Linked DNA regions of Arabidopsis thaliana. The protein of the gene in region 3 interacts with the protein of the main gene of each other region in a pairwise test. Each region holds a gene or a part of one and is shown on either strand. Other genes may lie near its edges.

Evidence for each region.
Region 1: the proteins of AGB1 (region 3) and PLDALPHA1 come close enough for resonance energy transfer, tested with the Arabidopsis thaliana proteins (one study listed by BioGRID).
Region 2: the proteins of AGB1 (region 3) and CMPG1 interact in a two-hybrid assay, tested with the Arabidopsis thaliana proteins (one study listed by BioGRID).
Region 4: the proteins of AGB1 (region 3) and GP ALPHA 1 interact in binary tests that used the Arabidopsis thaliana proteins (3 or more experiments, as listed by UniProt).

Annotation. Positions count from the first base shown.
Region 1 is NC_003074.8:5,328,651-5,334,278, reverse strand, and holds PLDALPHA1 (phospholipase D alpha 1), read right to left. Parts: upstream 4,086-5,628; 5' UTR 3,860-4,085; intron 3,453-3,859; 5' UTR 3,445-3,452; coding exon 3,349-3,444; intron 3,226-3,348; coding exon 1,323-3,225; intron 1,239-1,322; coding exon 805-1,238; 3' UTR 534-804; downstream 1-533. Other genes in the region: AT3G15740 (RING/U-box superfamily protein), read left to right, coding at 1-400. UniProt on the Arabidopsis thaliana protein: Hydrolyzes glycerol-phospholipids at the terminal phosphodiesteric bond to generate phosphatidic acids (PA).
Region 2 is NC_003070.9:24,635,280-24,639,120, forward strand, and holds CMPG1 (CYS, MET, PRO, and GLY protein 1), read left to right. Parts: upstream 1-1,916; 5' UTR 1,917-1,938; coding exon 1,939-3,234; 3' UTR 3,235-3,329; downstream 3,330-3,841. Other genes in the region: MMD1 (RING/FYVE/PHD zinc finger superfamily protein), read right to left, coding at 3,514-3,841. UniProt on the Arabidopsis thaliana protein: Functions as an E3 ubiquitin ligase.
Region 3 is NC_003075.7:16,476,530-16,481,431, forward strand, and holds AGB1 (GTP binding protein beta 1), read right to left. Parts: upstream 3,092-4,902; 5' UTR 2,738-3,091; coding exon 2,632-2,737; intron 2,560-2,631; coding exon 2,465-2,559; exon of another isoform or gene 2,241-2,464; coding exon of another isoform or gene 2,226-2,240; coding exon 1,801-2,225; intron 1,553-1,800; coding exon 1,195-1,552; intron 1,117-1,194; coding exon of another isoform or gene 1,106-1,116; coding exon 992-1,105; intron 900-991; coding exon 864-899; 3' UTR 502-863; downstream 1-501. Other genes in the region: AT4G34450 (coatomer gamma-2 subunit, putative / gamma-2 coat protein, putative / gamma-2 COP), read left to right, coding at 72-266; SK12 (SKP1-like 12), read right to left, coding at 3,493-3,951; AT4G34480 (O-Glycosyl hydrolases family 17 protein), read right to left, coding at 4,618-4,811. UniProt on the Arabidopsis thaliana protein: Guanine nucleotide-binding proteins (G proteins) are involved as a modulator or transducer in various transmembrane signaling systems.
Region 4 is NC_003071.7:11,194,974-11,201,622, reverse strand, and holds GP ALPHA 1 (G protein alpha subunit 1), read right to left. Parts: upstream 4,628-6,649; 5' UTR 4,155-4,627; exon of another isoform or gene 3,803-4,154; intron 3,666-3,802; 5' UTR 3,537-3,665; coding exon 3,477-3,536; intron 3,389-3,476; coding exon 3,316-3,388; intron 3,221-3,315; coding exon 3,183-3,220; intron 3,093-3,182; coding exon 3,003-3,092; intron 2,828-3,002; coding exon 2,750-2,827; intron 2,648-2,749; coding exon 2,540-2,647; intron 2,458-2,539; coding exon 2,356-2,457; intron 2,115-2,355; coding exon 2,059-2,114; intron 1,684-2,058; coding exon 1,549-1,683; intron 1,467-1,548; coding exon 1,373-1,466; intron 1,282-1,372; coding exon 1,222-1,281; intron 1,136-1,221; coding exon 1,056-1,135; intron 979-1,055; coding exon 801-978; 3' UTR 521-800; downstream 1-520. UniProt on the Arabidopsis thaliana protein: Exhibits a fast rate of basal nucleotide exchange. Guanine nucleotide-binding proteins (G proteins) are involved as modulators or transducers in various transmembrane signaling systems.

The DNA.
Region 1 (5,628 bases), on a different chromosome or scaffold from region 3:
CATTCTAGATTCGCTCCAAGTCCCTCCTTATTCTGCTATTGTTAACACTCTTGCTGATGAGATTAAGGATTTGAAGAAAGATGGTGCGAAAGACGTGGAGAGGGTACAAGTAAAGATAGGTGTTACTGTCTCGAGGTTTCCCGGTGAAGATGATCACGTAGATGTGCAAGTGCAACTTGCGGTTGCTCCAGCGAACGATGAGGCGGTGGAGATGCACTTGGAGACGCTTGTTGTTGAGAATGAAGGCTATTGTGTGATATGCATGGATAATATCCGAGTTGGGTCAGATGTGGAAGCGGGTCGAATGCCGTGTTCGCATGTGTTTCATCGTACTTGTGGAGAGGAATGGCTTAGGAACAGTGGGATTTGTCCGGTGTGTCGTGCCCTGTTTCCGGCTTAAAACTTTAAAACCCCTTTTGTATTAGTTTTGTGCTATATGAACCCTAGTTTCATGCTTTATCTCTAGATTGTCACTTTCACTTTTCTAATGAAGTATGTTTTACCTAGTTCATTGCTATTTTTGTTTAAACTTTGATGTGAAACACACTAAATAAAAAGAAAAGGATCAGATATAAGATTCATAAGTCCAAAGGTACATAACAACAACAAAACAAGATCACAAAGCTACATTCTCTCACCACGTCATTGTACGAATATAAAAACCAAAGGGGTAAAGAAGTGCATCATCATAACAACCATTTGACTTCTTAATTCTAAAGGTAGACACTCAAGTTTTATTCAAAGCTACAACAGCAGCAAAGCAGAGAGGGAGAGAGAGATCATTACTTGACATGCTTAGTGAGATTAGGTTGTAAGGATTGGAGGCAGGTAGTCTGATTTGGTGCCGAGGATACGGGCCTTTGTGTCCGGGAAGAATTCAAATCCTGGAAGCTCAGTGATGTCGCCTTCGCTGGCTACACCGATCGGGTAGCGGAGCAAGTGACCAGGAAGGTCATGTTCGAGTGACTCACTTGAGTAAAAGTCCCAATACTTGTCAGAAATGCGGTTAACTTTCTCAATGCATTCCAAGCTTGATGGATCGAGGAAGGTTTCATCGAGCATTCCCAGGTGTTCGTACCAGAGTGACATACGAAACCCATGGATCTGGCCACGAGCTGGTTGTCTATGGGACAAGTGATGTGGTTGATAACCTCCCATTGCTATCTCAGAGTCTCTTGCACCGTCCATTGACCTCTGGTTGATGTTAGCAGACCCAATGATAATGTATTCATCGTCAACTGCAAAATGGATTTCATCAAATGAATCAGGCACAACATTTATGTATACTTCTCAAGTTTTTTTCCGTTGAAATGTGAACTTACCGATCATCATTTTGGTGTGGACGTAAATCATGAAACGGCGTGCTTCTTGCGCCCTCATGTAATCAGTGTCGGGGTCTGGTTTCTCAGCAGGCTCATACTCTCCATCTTTCTTGACCTCACGGTTTCCAAGACAGAAGAATGTCAGATAGTTTCTTGGATCTTCCTCAAGACCCTGGGCCCTGAGAGCCTGAATCACATCCTTGTACATCATCTCCATGGTCCTCCTCTGCCAGTCTAATATAGCTTGCACTGATCCACTCTCTGGGAGACCTTCTGGCCACATTGGAACCACAACATAGACCCTGAACTTCTCTCCTTTCTCAATCTTGCTAACTATCTTCAGCGACAACTCTTTTGGGATTAAGTGCAGGGCATTGATGTCCTCAGGAGTAATACCATCGGCTGCCCAAGCAAAAGAACTCCCAAGGAAGTACTGGTTTTCAACGTAGATGAAATCCTTAGCACGTCTGATTGCATGAATGTAAGCATCTTGGATACTCCTATCAATGATGTTATCTTTCCCACTTACAAGCCCGGCTTCCGCAGCAGCTTCAGGCGACTCGGGAAACCCAGCAGCAGCTCCTCCATCAATGGACCTAAACAATTGGACATTCCACACATCGTGGTCCTCTTGGAACATAACAGGAGAAGGGGTGATAATAATATCACTAAGATCTCTCAACTTAACCAGAATGTCTTTACCACCCTGCTTGCTCCATCTCTGCTCGAAGTTGTACATGACATCCCAAGCAATTGGACCTTCAAGACGGGAGTGAATGTCATGCCAAGGCTCCCTTGGACCACCTTTAGTGATAGCAGCACCAGTGAAGTTAGGTTGATGGAAGTCATCATGGTGGACTGTGTCCAATGTCCTGAACAAGGAGTGGAACGGAGTGTCGTATCTTCCATCACAAAGATCAATACCGCCAACAAAACTCACAATTCTCCTCATTTCTGATCCTCCTCTGCTTGGCATCTCGCTGTCCACAACAACGATTTTCTGATGATGCGTGAACATAGTAGAGATCTGCAAACTTTGGACTATGCTACCACCGTCATCCGGGTTACGAGGGCACAGAATACAATGGACATCACTTCCCCTGAAGAAATTCTCGGTCTCTTCATCATGAGTAGCCATGAGCCCATCTTTCTTCAGCACATCAACAGAAGTTCTGTCATCCCAAACAAGCAAAAGAACCCTGACACCTTCACTAGCCTTCTTCTTGAGTAGCTCACCAATGGTCACATCACCTCCAGGCTTAGGCCTCCTCGAGTCCCTCACTAAAGCAATCTCAGCGTAAACAGACCAACCAGTAATGTAGATCAAGTGTTTTGCATTGCTAATAGCATCAAAAATATCCTCCCAACATCTTTGAGGCTCATAGTTCTTCCCTCCAGCGAGAGGAATTCTAGGGACAAAGTTGTCTGGAATATGAGCATCTTGGTACAGAGAAACTTTGCAGCCTTGTCTCTGCGAGAAGAATGTGTATGGCACTCCAGGGAACTTGGCACTTTTGATACCCATGTTCCAGTTACGATCCTCCTCAACATGGAAATATTGAAGCTTGACATGAATCTTTGATCCTCCCTGAATAGGGTTTCTGTCATTATCCAAGATCTCAACCCACTGATCCACTTCCTCGCCGTTAATGACTTGATCAACAGGAATGTAAGCTCTTCCGATAAGGGTAGCTCCAATGGGATTATCATCTTTAACAGTGAAGATGATATCAGAAGCCAAGTGAGCACAGTAAATATGAAACGACTCATACCACTTTGGGTTCTTAGGTTCATTTTTGATCTTCCTGGTTCTCCCAACTCTAGCTTTTTGCAGATCAATCGTCGCATACAACTGTGTTTCTCCTTTACCAACACCAATCGTCTCTTCTACATTTGCCAGAATCTGAAAGTTTCATCAGAAAAATAAAGATCAAACTGTGTATTAGTCCACAGACTAATTTGAACTACAAAATAAGACGTCAGGATTGGCGCAAAAATGATGCAATAACAATGGATCTTATTATACCTTGCCAAGGAAGCCTTGCCTAACACCACCACCATGGAGGGCATCAACTTCATAGATGGTAGCATGTAAAGTCCCGTGCAACAGATGCTGCGCCATTTTTTCACCTTTAGCAATAAGAATTGACCAGAACACAATATTAGTTTCTGAAAAAACTAAAAAAAAAGAAAAGCGAGATCTACGAATCTCAAAGATCTGGTATCAAAATTTTAGAGCAGCTAAATTTTCGCAGTATTGTCCTAAAAACAAGGAACACTAGTTGAATAGTGAAACTAAAGTCACTGATCTAACTCAAAACTAAAGATCGTATCAGTGTAACACTAGAGGACAATAGCAAATGAACCCGATCGTTGATTATCCAAAAAGAAAAAAAAAAAAGTCAGCGAGTTCCACTTATCTCACAAAACAAAGAACCACCTAAATGATCAAACGAGTTTTAATCGCAAAACAAGTAAAGAGAAACATAAAGATAAAATGAATGAGATTCATAGAGATGAAGTAGAGAAATACTAACTTCGAATTATTCCCAGAAACTGAGATCTGATCGGAGAAACTCAATCGTTCGGTGGTCAGAAGAAGAATTCGGGATCTGGTCCGTGATGGAAGCTCTTTAAGAGCTACTTTGTGGAGCTGCTGTAATTTAATTGGAGCGTGTGGGGCCACTTTTTCATTATTTTCTACAGATCTTTGATGATTTAATAGTGACCCAACGTACGAATTGTTATTAGTTTCAGCCCTACACGTTTTTAGTTTCACAATTAGGCCCTAAATAGTTACTCTCAAGAGATTCCTTTCAATTTATAACTTATAATATATAGTTAATGTTACTAGATAACGATATAATTGTGGTTGGATTATGTTATCTCACATCCTAATAGTAATATTTTACGTTACATCTAAAATTATATAATAGAGTGAAAAAGATAAAATGGAAAGTTTAGTGACTAATTGAAAATCTTGAAAAGTTTTAAGAAGGCCGACATAAAAAAAGGAAATAAATATTCAAAGTTGTAATAAAATCCCTGACTTGAGGATAGGGGAGACAAAAAAAAAAAAGAGATATCCAAATCGTGCGCCCGACGTTCTGCATCCAAACGTTACGACATCGTTTCCCAAGCTGAATCCTCACCGTCCATCACAAGAAAACTATATGGTGTACTTTTCTCAAGTAGTACGTGTTCGCATAATGACATGAATTCACTAGCAATAATTTAATTGCTTCATCATTGGATCTCACACATCTTCGCTATAAGATTGGGTAGTTTTTTTTTTCGTTTTTTTTGGGTAAAGAAGAATGTGATAGTTGTATAAAATATTACTCCTCATAAACGGAACGTGGCCACATGGGGATTATACAATGTATTTGCATTCTCTGGTATCTAATAAGTTCTAATGTACTAACCATCAGCAAAACCGTCAATCATAAAAATGCGGTGAAGAACAGATCAGAGGTGTCTCATATATGGGGATCAAAGGGAAAATTAAGACAGTATTGGCAACTCGGCGTAATGCTAAATTGTAACACAATGGTAGGATACAAGGGAGCTTATTTTGGAGCTTATTCCCCTATCTATGTTTATTATTTAGCAATGCTCACGGCAAGGTTTCTGATACGCAGCCACCGCTCACCGGTGACTTGTCTGAAAAATCTGGACTTAAAATAACCCAATTCCTTTGTTTTGCTTCTATATTAGCTTATTTTAGAAAATAGGACTTTTGAATTTTAGTTGACCCAAGGAAAAAATGAAGAAGGGACGTAGAAACTAGAAATTTAGGTGCTATTGATATTTGAATATGGGCCATAATTGGGCCTGGTGATTTAACATTCTGTACACGTATTTAGGCCTGTATCTTGGAATGATTTTTTTTTTTTGTGGTAGGGTAAAACTTGGAATGAAATTTAGGTGCACCTATTGATATTGTCCGACTGTCTGAACTGAATTTGATAAGTAGTACGTGAATCTTTAACTGTTTAGTAGGAAAAAAAAGAAAAAAAATCAAAAGAATATTACTATAATTAAACTACAATAAGTACATAATTAGTTTTTTTTTTTTTCTTATAAGCAAAAAGAAAAAAGCTAAAATAGAAAACCCAAAAGCGAAGCCGAAGAAAAGAAACTAAAAGCGAATCATGAAAGTCAAAAATAGACAGAAAAGATAAGAACATCTCCATCAGTAGTCTCTAGTATGGTTTTTCACTAACTAAAAAATATAAAATAATAATAAAGTAGGAGAGAGAGAAAAGTAAATAATAGGTTACATTTTAATAGGTTAAATTATTAT
Region 2 (3,841 bases), on a different chromosome or scaffold from region 3:
CAGCACAGAGAACAGGGAGATAGTAATACTTTTTCTCACATTTGTACTTTTGTGTCTCATAAGCAAAGAGAGACACATTATTTCTTATTTATATACTTTCTTTTCATAATCAAAAAAATATTAGACCAAACCAAGATTATGCTCTGAAATTTGGAAAAAGTGAGATCTTTATTTATTTAACACGTTTAGTACTATGGTCTATGGATGATTTATGTTCACATTGTACAGTGCTACTAAACAGGTAGTCTTTATCTCGTTGTATGCATATAAATAACATTTCATATGTTACAAGTCACAAGATAGTACAAAAATCGATTGAGTCAGAAGTAGTAATAAAATAACAATTCTCTTATTATTTTAGTAAATGATATCTCAGAATTTTATTTTTCAATTAAGATTAACACTTTTTTACGTAAAATATAGGATCAATTTCTCTTTTCAGGTACATGCACTAACTTAACCTTACTTTTTCTATTAATTCTCTAAATAATCTTGGTCTCCTTATCATTTTTGAGGTAAATAACATTTTTGTTTATTATAAAATTGTTTGTGTCACCAGTCTTAACGAAGAGAAGTACATAGATTTGAATTTTGCGCACTACTATGTTACTCGAGTTCATCGAAGTATCTCAAAGAATTAAACCAACTAAATCGCTAAAAAGAGTTTACAAAATTGAAGCCCAACTCTCCAACAATGAAGCCCATTCCATTCGATTTCGAACCTAAAGTTATTATGTAGAAATGAAGCAAGTTGTGTAATATAGTTTGGCTAAGATGCTGGTGGACACAAAGATAGCTGGAAACACAATATCAAGGATGGTTCACATAATCACATTATGAGTTGGAGATAGGTGTTGCCGTGTTTCTTACTAATATTATCTTTTCCTTTTCTTAAAGAAGGATATATGTAGTGGGAGAAATATGGACAGACTCATAAAATCTCAAGCGAATTATCAAAACAGGTAAGAACGTTACGTAATGTCCATATGCGCATGGTAGCGTTTTCATGCACCGACTCTTGACCACTGACTTAGTCAATCTCTAGCCGATTTCACATCATTCTTCATTTCAATATTATTTTTTATAGCAAAGACAAAAATACTCTCCAATTGTAGACTAAAAATACTCTCTAATTTGTATGGTTTCTCACTACGATTAAACCAAACTAAATTGTAGACCGATTTGGTTTCGGGGTTATAAGAAAAATCTTATCAACATAATTTTCTACATCTATATTTGTCTAATATTTTTTATGCATAATCGATCTTACCAAAACATACCAAAAAGGCACAAACTCTTTAAAATCACAAATATTTGATGTTCGCGGTTCGGAATCGGTGTTTCTTACCGGAAGTCAACTTGTTGGATTTTTGCTTATGGCTTTTTGTTGTTTATGTTGTAGTCTGTTATAGTTTTTGTTATTTTCTTCTGCTTTCGATTTTTTCCTTCTACTTATATTTTTCTGTAATTTTTTTCAAAAGCTTGCAAAAAAATATAAATATTTAACATTGATATAAAAAAAAAGTTTTACAGTTGATTTCTTTTTGTGAAAAAAAAAACTCAATCCTCAAGACCAAAAAAGAAGAGCGAAACAAAAAAAACAACCCAAGAATAGGTTTAAGAACTTTAATTTTTTCCTATTTCTGGATTAGTTGTCAATGTCATTAAATTCAAACATTCAACGGTCAATTTTTACGCTTCTTTAACAGCTAGCGAATAATATGACATAAACCTTCATTAATTCAAAAATCATTTTTCCCGTGATATGTTTTTTTTTTCTTTTACCTAAAAATTAACTTTGACCCACTCGCGTTCGAGAAGCGTATGATAACGACTAATTTAAAATGCATACATTTTATTATCTCTATATTCACATCCATACATATATAAATCTCTCATCCCCACTTGTGTTCTCCATTAGTAATAAACGGTCAAAGAATGGGACTTTCATTGAGAGTGAGACGTCGTGGAGGAAGTGTTAGCAAGAAAGAGATCATTCCGGTGACAAGTTGCTCGGAGGAAGTGGAGATAACCATACCATCGCAGTTTCAATGTCCGATATCTTACGAGCTAATGAAGGATCCGGTGATTATTGCCTCGGGGATCACTTACGATCGCGAAAACATCGAGAAGTGGTTCGAGTCCGGGTACCAAACTTGTCCCGTTACAAACACGGTTTTGACAAGTTTGGAACAGATTCCGAACCATACGATTCGGAGGATGATTCAAGGTTGGTGCGGGTCGTCACTAGGCGGCGGGATTGAACGAATCCCGACGCCTCGTGTACCCGTGACCAGTCATCAAGTCTCCGAGATTTGTGAGAGGTTATCCGCTGCTACGCGGCGTGGAGACTACGCCGCGTGCATGGAGATGGTTACGAAGATGACGAGACTAGGAAAAGAGAGCGAGAGGAATCGAAAATGCGTTAAGGAAAACGGCGCGGGATTGGTTCTTTGCGTTTGCTTCGACGCGTTTTCCGAAAACGCAAATGCGTCATTATTATTGGAGGAGACTGTGTCTGTGCTGACGTGGATGCTTCCCATTGGTTTAGAAGGTCAATCCAAACTCACCACGACGTCGTCGTTTAATCGTTTAGTGGAACTGTTGAGAAATGGTGATCAAAACGCTGCGTTTTTGATAAAAGAGCTTCTTGAGCTTAACGTAACTCACGTTCACGCGTTAACAAAGATCAATGGCGTCCAAGAAGCGTTCATGAAATCGATTAATCGCGATTCTACATGCGTCAACTCGTTAATATCAATCCACCATATGATCTTGACAAATCAAGAAACCGTATCAAGGTTTCTTGAATTGGATCTTGTGAATATAACAGTGGAGATGCTAGTGGATTCAGAAAACAGCGTTTGCGAGAAAGCGTTAACGGTATTAAACGTGATTTGTGAAACTAAAGAAGGAAGAGAGAAAGTGAGAAGAAACAAGCTGGTGATACCGATTTTGGTGAAGAAGATTTTGAAGATTTCTGAGAAGAAAGATTTGGTTTCTGTGATGTGGAAGGTTTGTAAAAGTGGTGATGGGTCTGAAGTTGAAGAAGCGTTGAGATTAGGTGCGTTTAAGAAGCTTGTTGTCATGTTACAAGTTGGATGTGGTGAAGGAACTAAGGAGAAAGTTACAGAGTTGTTGAAGATGATGAATAAAGTTATGAAGATGAATGGTTTTGTTGATCGTTCTTATTCTTCTTCAATTGAGTTTAAACATGTTAAGAAACCATTTTAATACATTTTGTATAGAGGAAACACCACAATTTTTTTCAAATCATCAATGTTTCCAAAAACCGGATTGGACCGACGGTTTGATAAACCAGACCTTATTCACAAAGCTCTGTTTCTTATTTCCTCTGTTTTTAAAACCCTCTCTTTGTAAACAGTGTCTCTTAACCAACTTGTAAACCACAAAGCCAAACTCATTTATATTGAGGCAAACAAATCACATATACAATTTGGTTTTGTTTACAAAAGAATTGATTATCTACAAAGTTTGATCCAAAAACTGACTTTACAAAAGATAGTTTTCTTCAGGAAAAATCATACCAAGACATCTCTGATCTCCAAAGAAATCATCTGCAGATTCAAGCAAAAACACATTCTCTGAACTTGGAAACTCATACTTTGGCTGCAGCACTTTCCTCTGTTGCTCTGCAAATTCTTCACAGCAATTCGAACAAACAAAAAGTGGAGGCAAAGTATCTGAATCATCAATCCCACAACATCGTGTATGTTGCCATACCTCACAAACATCACAAGATATCATCCTCTCGCCATCATCATCTCTAGCTCTGCAAATACATTTCACCATCCATGTATCACATCCACCTTGACACTTG
Region 3 (4,902 bases):
TAAAGTCTTTTTTGAGTATATGACCATTTGTTGTGTTCCTGAAATTGAAACTGACACTGGATAAATAACAGGGGACGGAGACAATTCCGCTCAATGCAAGGTCACACACGTGTCTATTGTCAGGTGTGTACATAGGCAACGTGAAAGTGTTAGTGAGGGCACAGTTTGGAATGGACAGCTCAAAGGACATTGCAATGAAGCTGACAGTTAGAGCTGAAGACGTTTCTGTCGCCGAGGCCATTCACGAGATTGTTGCCAGCGGCTAAAACCTCTTGCGTTTCTTCAGTATCAGAGAATGTCATCTATTCCTGCTGCTAAACCTCAAAAATACATCAACTATTATAAATAGCATAGTATTACTTTCTTTCTTTTTTCCTTGCATTATTACTGTCAAATACACTATGGAGGTTTTCTTTTTATTTTATGACGGTGCTTTTTGATTTCTCATTTCTGAATTTTATTATTACCCGTTTTCTCGCCAAGTTGGGAATCTACAGATCATCTTGCTCGGATTTGAAAACCACTACCGTACCGTACAACAGGCTAGGCTTTCTCCATAAGTTAGAAACTCAAAAATAGTAGCGTTTTATCGTCTGCGTTCAATATGAAGAGATGATAGTAAAGTAAAGACTGGTGGGTACACAATTGATTACAGAATTCACATTGAGTAGCGTGTTGAAGGAGTTTAGTTCCCAATGAAGAAATAAATAAATCAAAGCACACTACAAAAAGGGAAGTTTAATTCTTCTAACCACTCCACTATTTCAAACCAAACACCTTCCACAAACCGAACCTTACTTCCCGACTACAGAATATATTAACCAACAACTGGAGACGTGACTCCTACTTTCGTTAAATCTTCTTCAAATCACTCTCCTGTGTCCTCCAAACGCCCATATCTGTGTGAATTCAACGAAATTTCATCTATCCTCTAATTTCCTTACAAACATAACATGGTAAATGATAAGCAGAGACACTACTAAGTACTAACCTTTAGATTTGAATCCCAACTTCCTGTACACAAGGCACTTCCATCTGCTGACAACCCCAAACAGCTTATTCTATTCCTGTGTGAATCCTGCTGTAATCCCAAATCCAATACAACCTGCAAGAAAACTCCTCACGTTTCAATCATAAACCTTACATGAGCGAAAACAACTCTCACCACTCATTACTCAAATACTAATTGCTTACCTCTCCCAAGAGGGTATCCCAAACGTAGCAAGTGTTGTTGCTCGCATAGCCAGCGAAAAGAAGTCTCCCTGACACAGAGAATGCAATGGAGGTGACAGGTCCGTTCTCACCATCACCATGTGGCTGATAGACCTGGAGTTGGTGACCAGTCCTTATGTCATACAGCCTGCATGTTCCATCGTCTGATCCAGTCCCAAATCTATACCCATCCGGAAAGAACTTGACCGTATTAACATCTCCCTCGTGACCATGAAAGGTACGCACTGCTCGGCTTGCAGCACGAGTGTCCCACAACCGTGCTGTGGAATCGCATGAACCAGATATAAACCAGTTTGGGTTTGATCCACTGATTGAGACGCTGCAAGAATGGGGAATAATCACCAAGTAAGAGGGCGAGTTTAACTGACTTGCAATATATCATCCATGCTAGCTTTTATACACAAGTCAAATAAACGTATCTATTCAATAAGACCAAACCTATATGTTGATTCCAACACTCGATCCAAATGGTATGGTTCTGGAAGATTAAGTAGTTTTTCAAATATATTCTACTTTATCAAACAAACTGATGCCAATGAGCCAAGGAGATGAAAGCAATATCCATACCTTAGTACATCAGCAGTATGTCCAGACTGAAATTCACCGCCAAAAACAGAAGTTTTGAGACCAGTAGTTACATCCCATAAGATACAAGTTTGATCACCTGAACTGGTGATAAGGTGGGCATCCTCATTTGGGACATACTGACAGCACGAAACATATCCCCTGTGACCAGTGAGCATTCTTGAAACCGGTACAGTTCCATCCTTGTCCGCCGTTGAGCTAAGGCTAAAGATAGAACATACACTGTCTAATCCACCACACGCAACCGACTGACCATTTGGAGAGAAAGCACATGTCATAACCCATGCACAAGGGAGTTTAATAGCATGAGTTTTCTGACTCGTTAGAGCATTCCACACGATTAATCTCCCATCTTGAGATGCACTGACAATCCGGTTCCTCTCCGGTGTCCAATCTAATGAATAAACCTGCAAATCCCACATGTTAAATCAACAACAAGCTAACATTCACAATCAACTCTCCTGTCTCTACATTTCCGTAGGATCTTAAGCAAATCCTCATACATGATAACTGGTAACATCTTATAAACACCACCAACTAAATAACAAACTAGATACAACCCCAAAATGGAAGCTTTTTATCACAGGCTAGAAAACACTCCACAAAGAAGCATGCTTGAAGGATAAAGATGCAAACTTTGAGTCACCTTTCCGGTGTGTCCCTGAAGAGTACGACAACAAACCAGATCCGTTGCTCCGAAGCTCACCCGAGTACGTCCTTGCGCCGCTGAATACCTCGCCACTGGCAAAATTCAATCCAAATTAAAGAAGAAGAAGATGAGAGAAGAAGAGAGACGAAAAGGAATCCACAAACCATCGGTATCGAGGAGCTGGAGGCGTCTCTGTCTAAGCTGGTCACGGAGGTTATTAACGGTCTCCGTAGCGACGGCGTGGCGTTCTTTGAGCTCGGAGACAGACATTCCGGGATCAGACTTAGGCTTCTCCGTCGCCGATCAAATAAAAGGGGGAAACTTTGTGGGGTCTAGAAGAGAAGAAGGTTCATGATTGAGAGAGGGAGATCGAACCCTAGAAAGAATGGATTTGGGGGAATTACGTGGGAAAAGAGAGAGAGATTAAAAAAGCTTGAGAGAAGAATCAGTCAAGACACAAACACGGCTCTCTTGTTGAATGTTGATGATGGCTTCTCTGACCTGAGACTAGCTAGAGAGAGAGAAGAGGGTCAATAGACATTGACTGTTCCCATTAAAGTGGACCCTCTCACAATGATTAAACGATATCGTTTAAGAGCTATGATTGTTTTTGGTTTTGGACGAGATTTTCGATTCAATATAATGAATTTGAAGGATTTTTAACTACATATTTCTTTTTAAGAAACGTAATTTACAGTACAAGAAAAGAGAAAACATGTTAGTTATTTTGCTACGTGAATTTAATTTGTCTAATAGATTCTGTTTTTCTGAATTGGCTACAAGAACATCAATAATCCAATAAAATTAAGATTGTCTCAAGAGAAAATAAAATAAAAACACATTGGTTAAGCATATCAATATCCAACAAAAGATTATCTCAAGAGAATACAAATCAAAAAAAAAAATTTTAAAAAGTAGACGAAGTGATCATCATCTACATTATTGATCAAGAAGTTGCAAAAAAAAAAAAGAACACTAAAAGGAAAAAAGAAAAAGAAAGCTAGTTAGGTTTTTGATTCATGGGCTCATTCAAAAGCCCATTGATTCTCCTTACGAACAGCTTCTTCTTCCTCAGGTGTAAAATCATTCTCAATGTTGAAAGTTGAACGAATCTCCTCTGGAGTCTTGCCTTTGATCATGTCCGCAACAGTTTGGCATGTGAGATCAAACAAGCTTTTTATGTTGAGGTAATTCGCAGCAAGGATGAGTTCAAAGATGGTGGATTGTTCGAGATCCATGAACTTCTCGTCCCACTTGTTGAGATCCTCTTCAGAGATAGGATTAGCCTCGTCGACGTGGTATTTCTTGCAGTACTCGATCACTTTCACAAGAATCTTGCTTTCCACGTTTGCAAGAGGGATTCCATCAGCAACGCAATCGTCTTCAACCATATGCGCTATGGTCTGCGATTGGATTGCTACCGCTTCTTCCACCTCAAACGACTGACCATCGGAGCTCATCAACACGATCATCTTCGAAGACATTGTGTGTTCCTTGTGGAGGAGGTTTTTCACTGTGAAGCAAATTTGATGAAAGATTTAAGAATTTAGAGAGCGAACAAATTGTGTTAAGGTGATGAAGTTGTGAAACCCTATGCGTCTTTGTATTTATAAGCCCTAGCTAGAGTCGGTGAGATCAACCATTCCTTTTTTAAGAAGGAAATAGTTATTTTCCTTAACCGAAGAAAATAAGTAAATTATTTGTCGACTCCTTTTCATAAAAGGTAATTTCAGATGAGTAAACCAAAATAAACCGGGTCAAATTTTCATTTTTTTGTTGTAGGTTCGGCTCAAATCCTTATTTTCAGAAAATGTAAATTCAGTAAAGTGAACCAGCTAAACCGGTTTAAATTTACAATAGGCCCAATTATAAAGGTACGGCGTAAAATGTAACAATTTAAGAGGGATATAGATATACATTGGAATATAGGAAACTTTATCCAAAGATAATATTCAGATTCATTTATAAGAAACCAAAAGAAGTCTAGTAGATATAGCCGTTACAGACTATATAATACAATTGAGATAGAATGTGTGTAACCATTATAAACTAATAACAAACTCGATTACACTTAATACAGAGGAAGGAGAGGAGATTAACAAGTAGGCGTAATTAATTAATTACTTACCTCCAAGAGCTAATTGAGCCATTTACATATATACATGGAAGATAAGGGACAAAAAGATGAGTAGAAAAGATAGAGAAGAAGAGACTTTTGGTTCAGTTGCTCCATTCTTCTTCTCTACTTTGTCTGAGCTCACATACTTGTTCATTACTGCTTTACTTCCTCCTCCTCCTCCTCCTCCTCCTCCTCCTCCTCCCGGATATACGCAATTGTTGTAACCTATCAAATTCAGATTCAAGATAATTAAGAAACCCAATTAGTATAATAAAGCATGTAGAAAACCGATTATTTGGTCAATTAAAGCATTTAC
Region 4 (6,649 bases), on a different chromosome or scaffold from region 3:
ATGGTTCCCTAACAAAACCAATTTCGTGATCTTTGAGAGTTTCGTATTAATCAAACTAAGAAGCGATTGTTATCATTATCGTATAACAGAAAAAGCAAAATCAGAACACCATTGGAAGAAAGAGAGAACAACAACATACATGTTTCAGAGGATTGCTCGAAAACGGAATCAAAAACAGAGGAAGAAGAATCAATGAAGCTTTTTTTTTTTTTTGGGATCTATTAACGAAAGAGAAGAAGGAATATTCTTTGACGTAAGAAACAACAACGGCGAAGAGTTTTTTGCTTTCAGGGTTCTTCTTTCTTCGGTGCAATTATTTTTAAAGTCGCTTTTTCGAATGTTCTGAAATCACGGTAGACCCCATGTGTTTTACTTTTATTTCAGTTTTTACATCATATTTTGTATTTGTTCAGTTTCACCCCCATACTTTTTTTTAATGTAAGAACTTTTTCATGTTAGGAACATTCCAAAACTTTTTAGTACTGATAAAGTTACGTTTTGTGTTGTGTTTCACTTTCTAGATTTCGGGATGTGGATGCCTCATTTTAATAATAATATAACCCCAAAAACAAGATCAAAATGAGATGTTTTTGATGAGAAAAAAAAATAAGAAGTCAAAGACAGAGGAATGTTAACAAAAACAATGATAAAATAGAAACTAGTCGTAGCCATCGAGACACATTAGATTTTGAATCGCTAAGTCTTTTGTCCCGAAAGATAAATTACACGGTCATTCAGTTTTCGAGTTTTTCTTATAATAATAAGGAGAGGTAATTTACTAGAGATATGTAATAATAAGGTCATAAAAGGCCAGCCTCCAGTAAATTTCTCCTTCTTAGTGTCTCATCTACGAGCTTGAACGTTTTCTTTACAAGCTTCTGGTCCAAAGCCGTCGTCCTGTAGATTTTGAATACCCTGTCCACTCTATCCGGCGCCGTGTTCTGGTAATATAACTCCTCAAACTTCTTCTTCACAAACCTGAATCCAAATTAAAAATAAGGTCATATAACGGTAACAGTTTGGCGGGAATCAGTAAAGTTTGGAGACAAGCTTACTCGTATGCATGCTCAATCTCTTGTTTCCCACTTGAAACTGGTTGGTAATCTCTGAACCACTCGCAAACGTTCAACGGAACCTATGCACATTGAATAAGAAAGCGTTATTGAACAAAAAGACTTGCTTGCCTATCAAAACAAATAAATATGCTTTAGTTCTTCTTACGTCAAGAACTTTCTTCTCAAATATGTCGAACTTGTTCAAGAACAGCATGAAGGATGTTTTCTGCGTAAAGAGAACCAAGTTTTTGTAACCAAACCCATCTCAAGAGTGTCTTTAAATTTTTAAAAGATGAGATAAAAATGTAACTAAAAACCTCAAAACAGGGTTGTTTCAGGACCCAGTCGAATAATTCCTTGGTCTCCATCATCCTGTTTTTCTGCTCGTCCTCAAAGAGCGTTTGGTCGTACCTATGATCAAAACTCAGTTAATGTTTTGGCAATATGTGGACAGTACGAGGATATCTTATAATTTATAATGAAGTGAGCTTACTCGCTGATGGCAGCACAAAATATCACAGCTGTTACACCTTCAAACAGATGAATCCATTTCCTCCTCTCATTTCTCTGTCCACCCACGTCAAACAATCGGTACACTTCACCACTTTTTTTATTCTCTCCCACAGGGCTGCATAAACGAAGCTTTATCTCATATACCATTTGTGAATTCATCTTTGGTAACGGATCATTACAAGTAGATTCACCACAACAACAAGTTTGATATTGGTATGGAATTCATATGTTCTATTAGTACATCTTAGTGGCAATCATAGGAATCGAATCCGTAAACACTTTTATTCATTTCACCAAATAACTTACACATCGCAGAGAGACTACATTAACAAGATTGTTGCTGAGCTGTTAACACAGCTACTACAAACCGCCTAGCTAATCATATTGCCTAGTGAACCAGACTAACACTTAGAGCTTATCAAACAATTACTCATCTATGAAAGACTAACAATCAAACAGGAAAAAGGGTAAAACAAAAAGTAGTTGGTACCTGAACTGTATTTCCACGACACCAGTTGTGCGAACTCTTGCATAAAGTACATCCTCCTGAAACACCAACATAGAAAAAATGCACCAATGACAACACATTCCGGAAGACACATGTCACAGAAATTGCATATTGACTCTGGTCTCTGAAAATGCTAGCTCAACTAGGCTAATATGGAAAGCAAAAGGCTTCTGTTTGTTAATACATTGATCCTCCGAGGCTGATCCAATGAGTTTTATTCAACCATTTTAAGATCATTACTTGAAATGTTTTCAACAAAGAATGATACTTTGGTTATACCTTAGTTGGAATATAATTTATATCTGATAGTCTCTTCAAGTTCTCCATCAGATATTTCGTACAATCAGGAACCTGAAGCTCATTACCACGAGCACAAGTTTCCTACAAAATGAAACGTTTAAATCATGTATTCAACTTTGAGTGCAATAGTAAATAAAACGTGCACACACACACACAAACACACCTGAATTGCAGGATCCTTCCATAGTGTTTCTATTCCCTCAGCGATGTCCTTGGTAAGACGTGGATAGTCTAACCTACCACCAATCTCAGATAGTTTCTCCCCAATTGCCTGATATTACGATAATAAGTTGACTACCATAAGACAAGGTACTCACAAGACTCAAAACTCTAACAAAGACAGCTCAAGTGACCTATGAATCTAACCACTTACAATACTTTCAGAAGATAACATATATTTAGCAGAATCTGTTTCATTTTGAGCAAACTCCTTTGTTCCATCATGCAATAACTGTTCAACAATATAGAGTAGCTATTAAGCTACATGTACAATATACCAAGATCAACATATGAAAAAAATTTGATTACTCATATAAATGATTCTCTAGATTGTAAATCCAAAAGAACTCGAAAACACCGCCAATTAGAAGGATAAAACCGACACAGTCATTTCAAGTATTGCATACTTTTATAGTCTGATAGACATTGGCATGAATGACTGGAACATAGCTCTTTAGTTCTCCTTCATCAAATCCCGTTTGGAATAGAAGTTTTATCTGCAAATTAGTAAATTTGTATCATTCAATTAGCAGGATTCATAAGTAAATTTAAGTAAAGAGTACAATCAATTTTCCTTGTGGACTTGCCTGCTTAAAAATTGTAGATTTTCCAGATTCCCCAGCACCTTTACAAAACACAAGTCAGAAAATTAGAGGAAAACTATTACCAAAAGATTCATCAAGGCATGCCATTCACATTTCTAATCCAAGGTCTACATACCAAGTAGCAAAAGCTTCCGAATATGCTTTTCAGCCTTTGCTTCTTGCTCTATCCGTCTTTCGATTTCAGCAGCCTGTAGATTAATACAAACCAAGTTAACTCTTGAAGTATCAGAAATAATGCTCCCATACATCGAGTGTTACAAGAGCTCTTAAGTCAACCTGTGTATTCTCATCAGTATCTTCAGTATGATGTCGACTTCTACTGCAGAGTAAGCCCATGATTGTTTCTATATCCCCACAGGTAATAACATAGAAGTCGAAAACTATCAAGATTCAAGCTCCACAGCTAAAAACAAATACTTGAGCTTCCAGCTACAGTTGCTTCTCATAACAAGACAATGCCTACACCTACTTATGAAACAATCAATACTTTAGCTCAAAATTCATAAATATACATAAAGTTTCACTCACCAAAATAGCAAACATGTTCAAAGAATGCAAGTAAGAAAAAGCATTAAACTTTATAATATATACTGGATTAGTACCTCTCAAATGAAACAAGTTCAGTAGTTAAGAAAATGAGCTCTAAAAGTCGAGTAGCTAACACCATTAAGAAATTCAAAAACTGTGAGATAGCAAATCAAGTAATAGATAGAGTTCACACTTGAACTGCTATAATCAGATCCAAAGAATCATAATTTTCATTTCCAATCTACAGTAACGACGAACTGATCTACAAAACCCTAAACTTGAAAAACAAAACCAATTCGAAACGAAACAGAAAAACAACAGAACAAGGAGGAGAACTAGGACAAGATCTGAGTAATAAAAAACAAAACTTTCATAAAACCCAAAAGAGTAAATTTGGGGTAAGAAGAAAAGTAAAGTAGAATTCACCTGAAGAAGAAAAAGAAATGGAGTCAAAGGTAGTGAAGAAGATATCGGAGTTCGCAAACAAGAAGAAGAAGAAGAAGAAGAAAGTACAAAACAAGGTCTGAGAAGAGAGCAGAAGAAGAAGAAGTAGTACTTCTGCTTCTCCTGTTTCTATTATTGTTTTACCACTTTCTTTCCGCTTTAATGTTTTTGCTTCACTCTTTTGGATTTATTCTCTCCTTTTTATTATAAATACATAAAATGCAAATTATGAATTTAATTAAAAATAAAATAAAAATGGATATATTTTTAATATTTGGTCAAAAAGAAAGAAAGAAAATGTTAAGCAAAGGGGAAGACGAAATTACGCCGAAAGGTCCTGAGAGAGAGAGAGAGAGAGTGGTCAAATGTTGAAAAAAGATGTGCCTCTCGTGACGATAAAGAAGATTAATTACGGAACCTATATGCATTTTTATTTTATATACTATTAAGTTAACCATTATTGGAAGAGAATTACTAAGTGTGGCAAGACAAAACAAATTTGGAATTTTATGACATCAAGTCCTTGTATCGAAATATCTTGATTTTTGCTTTGCAGTTGCATTACAAGCTGGACTCTACTTATATCTAGAATGGGTTTTGCTAGCTTAGGAAATATATTGCAGTTTTGATTTAGGAAAGAAAATAAAGATTCAAAATCGATAAAAACACAACATATCATATAGTACTTTAAATCTTCAACCTACAAAAACATCACATCCGTTAAATCCTTACAATCATTAACATCGACTTGAACTTCTCACAAAATGTTTCCACTGAGAAACGGTCTTGGCGAGTGATGGTATATTTATTGGTTGGGCTTAAATATATTTCAGATGCAAAACCATATTGAATCAATAAATTATAAATACATAGCTTCCCTAACCACTTAAACCACCAGCTACAAAACCAATAAACCCGATCAATCATTATGTTTTCATAGGATTTCCTGAACATACATTAAATTATTTTTCATTTTCTTGGTGCTCTTTTCTGTCTTATTCACGTTTTAATGGACATAATCGGTTTCATATTGTAAATCTCTTTAACCTAACGAACAATTTAATGACCCTAGTAATAGGATAAGAAGGTCGTGAAAAATGAACGAGAAAAAACCCACCAAAACACTATATAAGAAAGACCGAAAAAGTAAAAAGGGTGAGCCATAAACCAAAAACCTTACCAGATGTTGTCAAAGAACAAAAATCATCATCCATGATTAACCTACGCTTCACTACTAAGACAAGGCGATTGTGTCCCGGTTGAAAAGGTTGTAAAACAGTTTGAGGATGCTACAAAAGTGGATGTTAAGTATGAAGCGGCTAAGGTTTTGGATTTGGTCTAGGAGCACATTGGTTAAGCAATATCTTCGGTGGAGATTGAGTTTTTAGAGATAGTAGATACTAATTCATCTATGGAGACATGCAAATTCATCAAAATGCTTGGATGAATTAGAAAAACTAGGTGGAGAATACAGTAAAAAAATTCAAAAAGTGCATATTGTTTGGACAACATTAATATGTACAAATAGTTTACATTTAAATGTATTATTTTACTAATTAAGTACATATAAAGTTGCTAAACTAAACTAATATAATTTTTGCATAAGTAAATTTATCGTTAAAAGTTTTCTTTCTAGCCACTAAACAACAATACAAAATCGCCCAAGTCACCCATTAATTAATTTAGAAGTGAAAAACAAAATCTTAATTATATGGACGATCTTGTCTACCATATTTCAAGGGCTACAGGCCTACAGCCGCCGAATAAATCTTACCAGCCTTAAACCAGAACAACGGCAAATAAGTTCATGTGGCGGCTGGTGATGATTCACAATTTCCCCGACAGTTCTATGATAATGAAACTATATAATTATTGTACGTACATACATGCATGCGACGAACAACACTTCAATTTAATTGTTAGTATTAAATTACATTTATAGTGAAGTATGTTGGGACGATTAGACGGATACAATGCACTTATGTTCTCCGGAAAATGAATCATTTGTGTTCAGAGCATGACTCCAAGAGTCAAAAAAGTTATTAAATTTATTTGAATTTAAAACTTAAAAATAGTGTAATTTTTAACCACCCGCTGCCGCAAACGTTGGCGGAAGAATACGCGGTGTTAAACAATTTTTGTGATCGTTGTCAAACATTTGTAACCGCAATCTCTACTGCACAATCTGTTACGTTTACAATTTACAAGTTAGTATAGAAGAACGTTCGTACCTGAAGACCAACCGACCTTTAGTTATTGAATAAATGATTATTTAGTTAAGAGTAACAAAATCAATGGTTCAAATTTGTTTCTCTTCCTTACTTCTTAAATTTTAATCATGGAAGAAACAAAGTCAACGGACATCCAATTATGGCCTAATCATCTCATTCTCCTTTCAACAAGGCGAATCAAATCTTCTTTATACGTAATATTTATTTGCCAGCCTGAAATGTATACCAAATCATTTTTAAATTAAT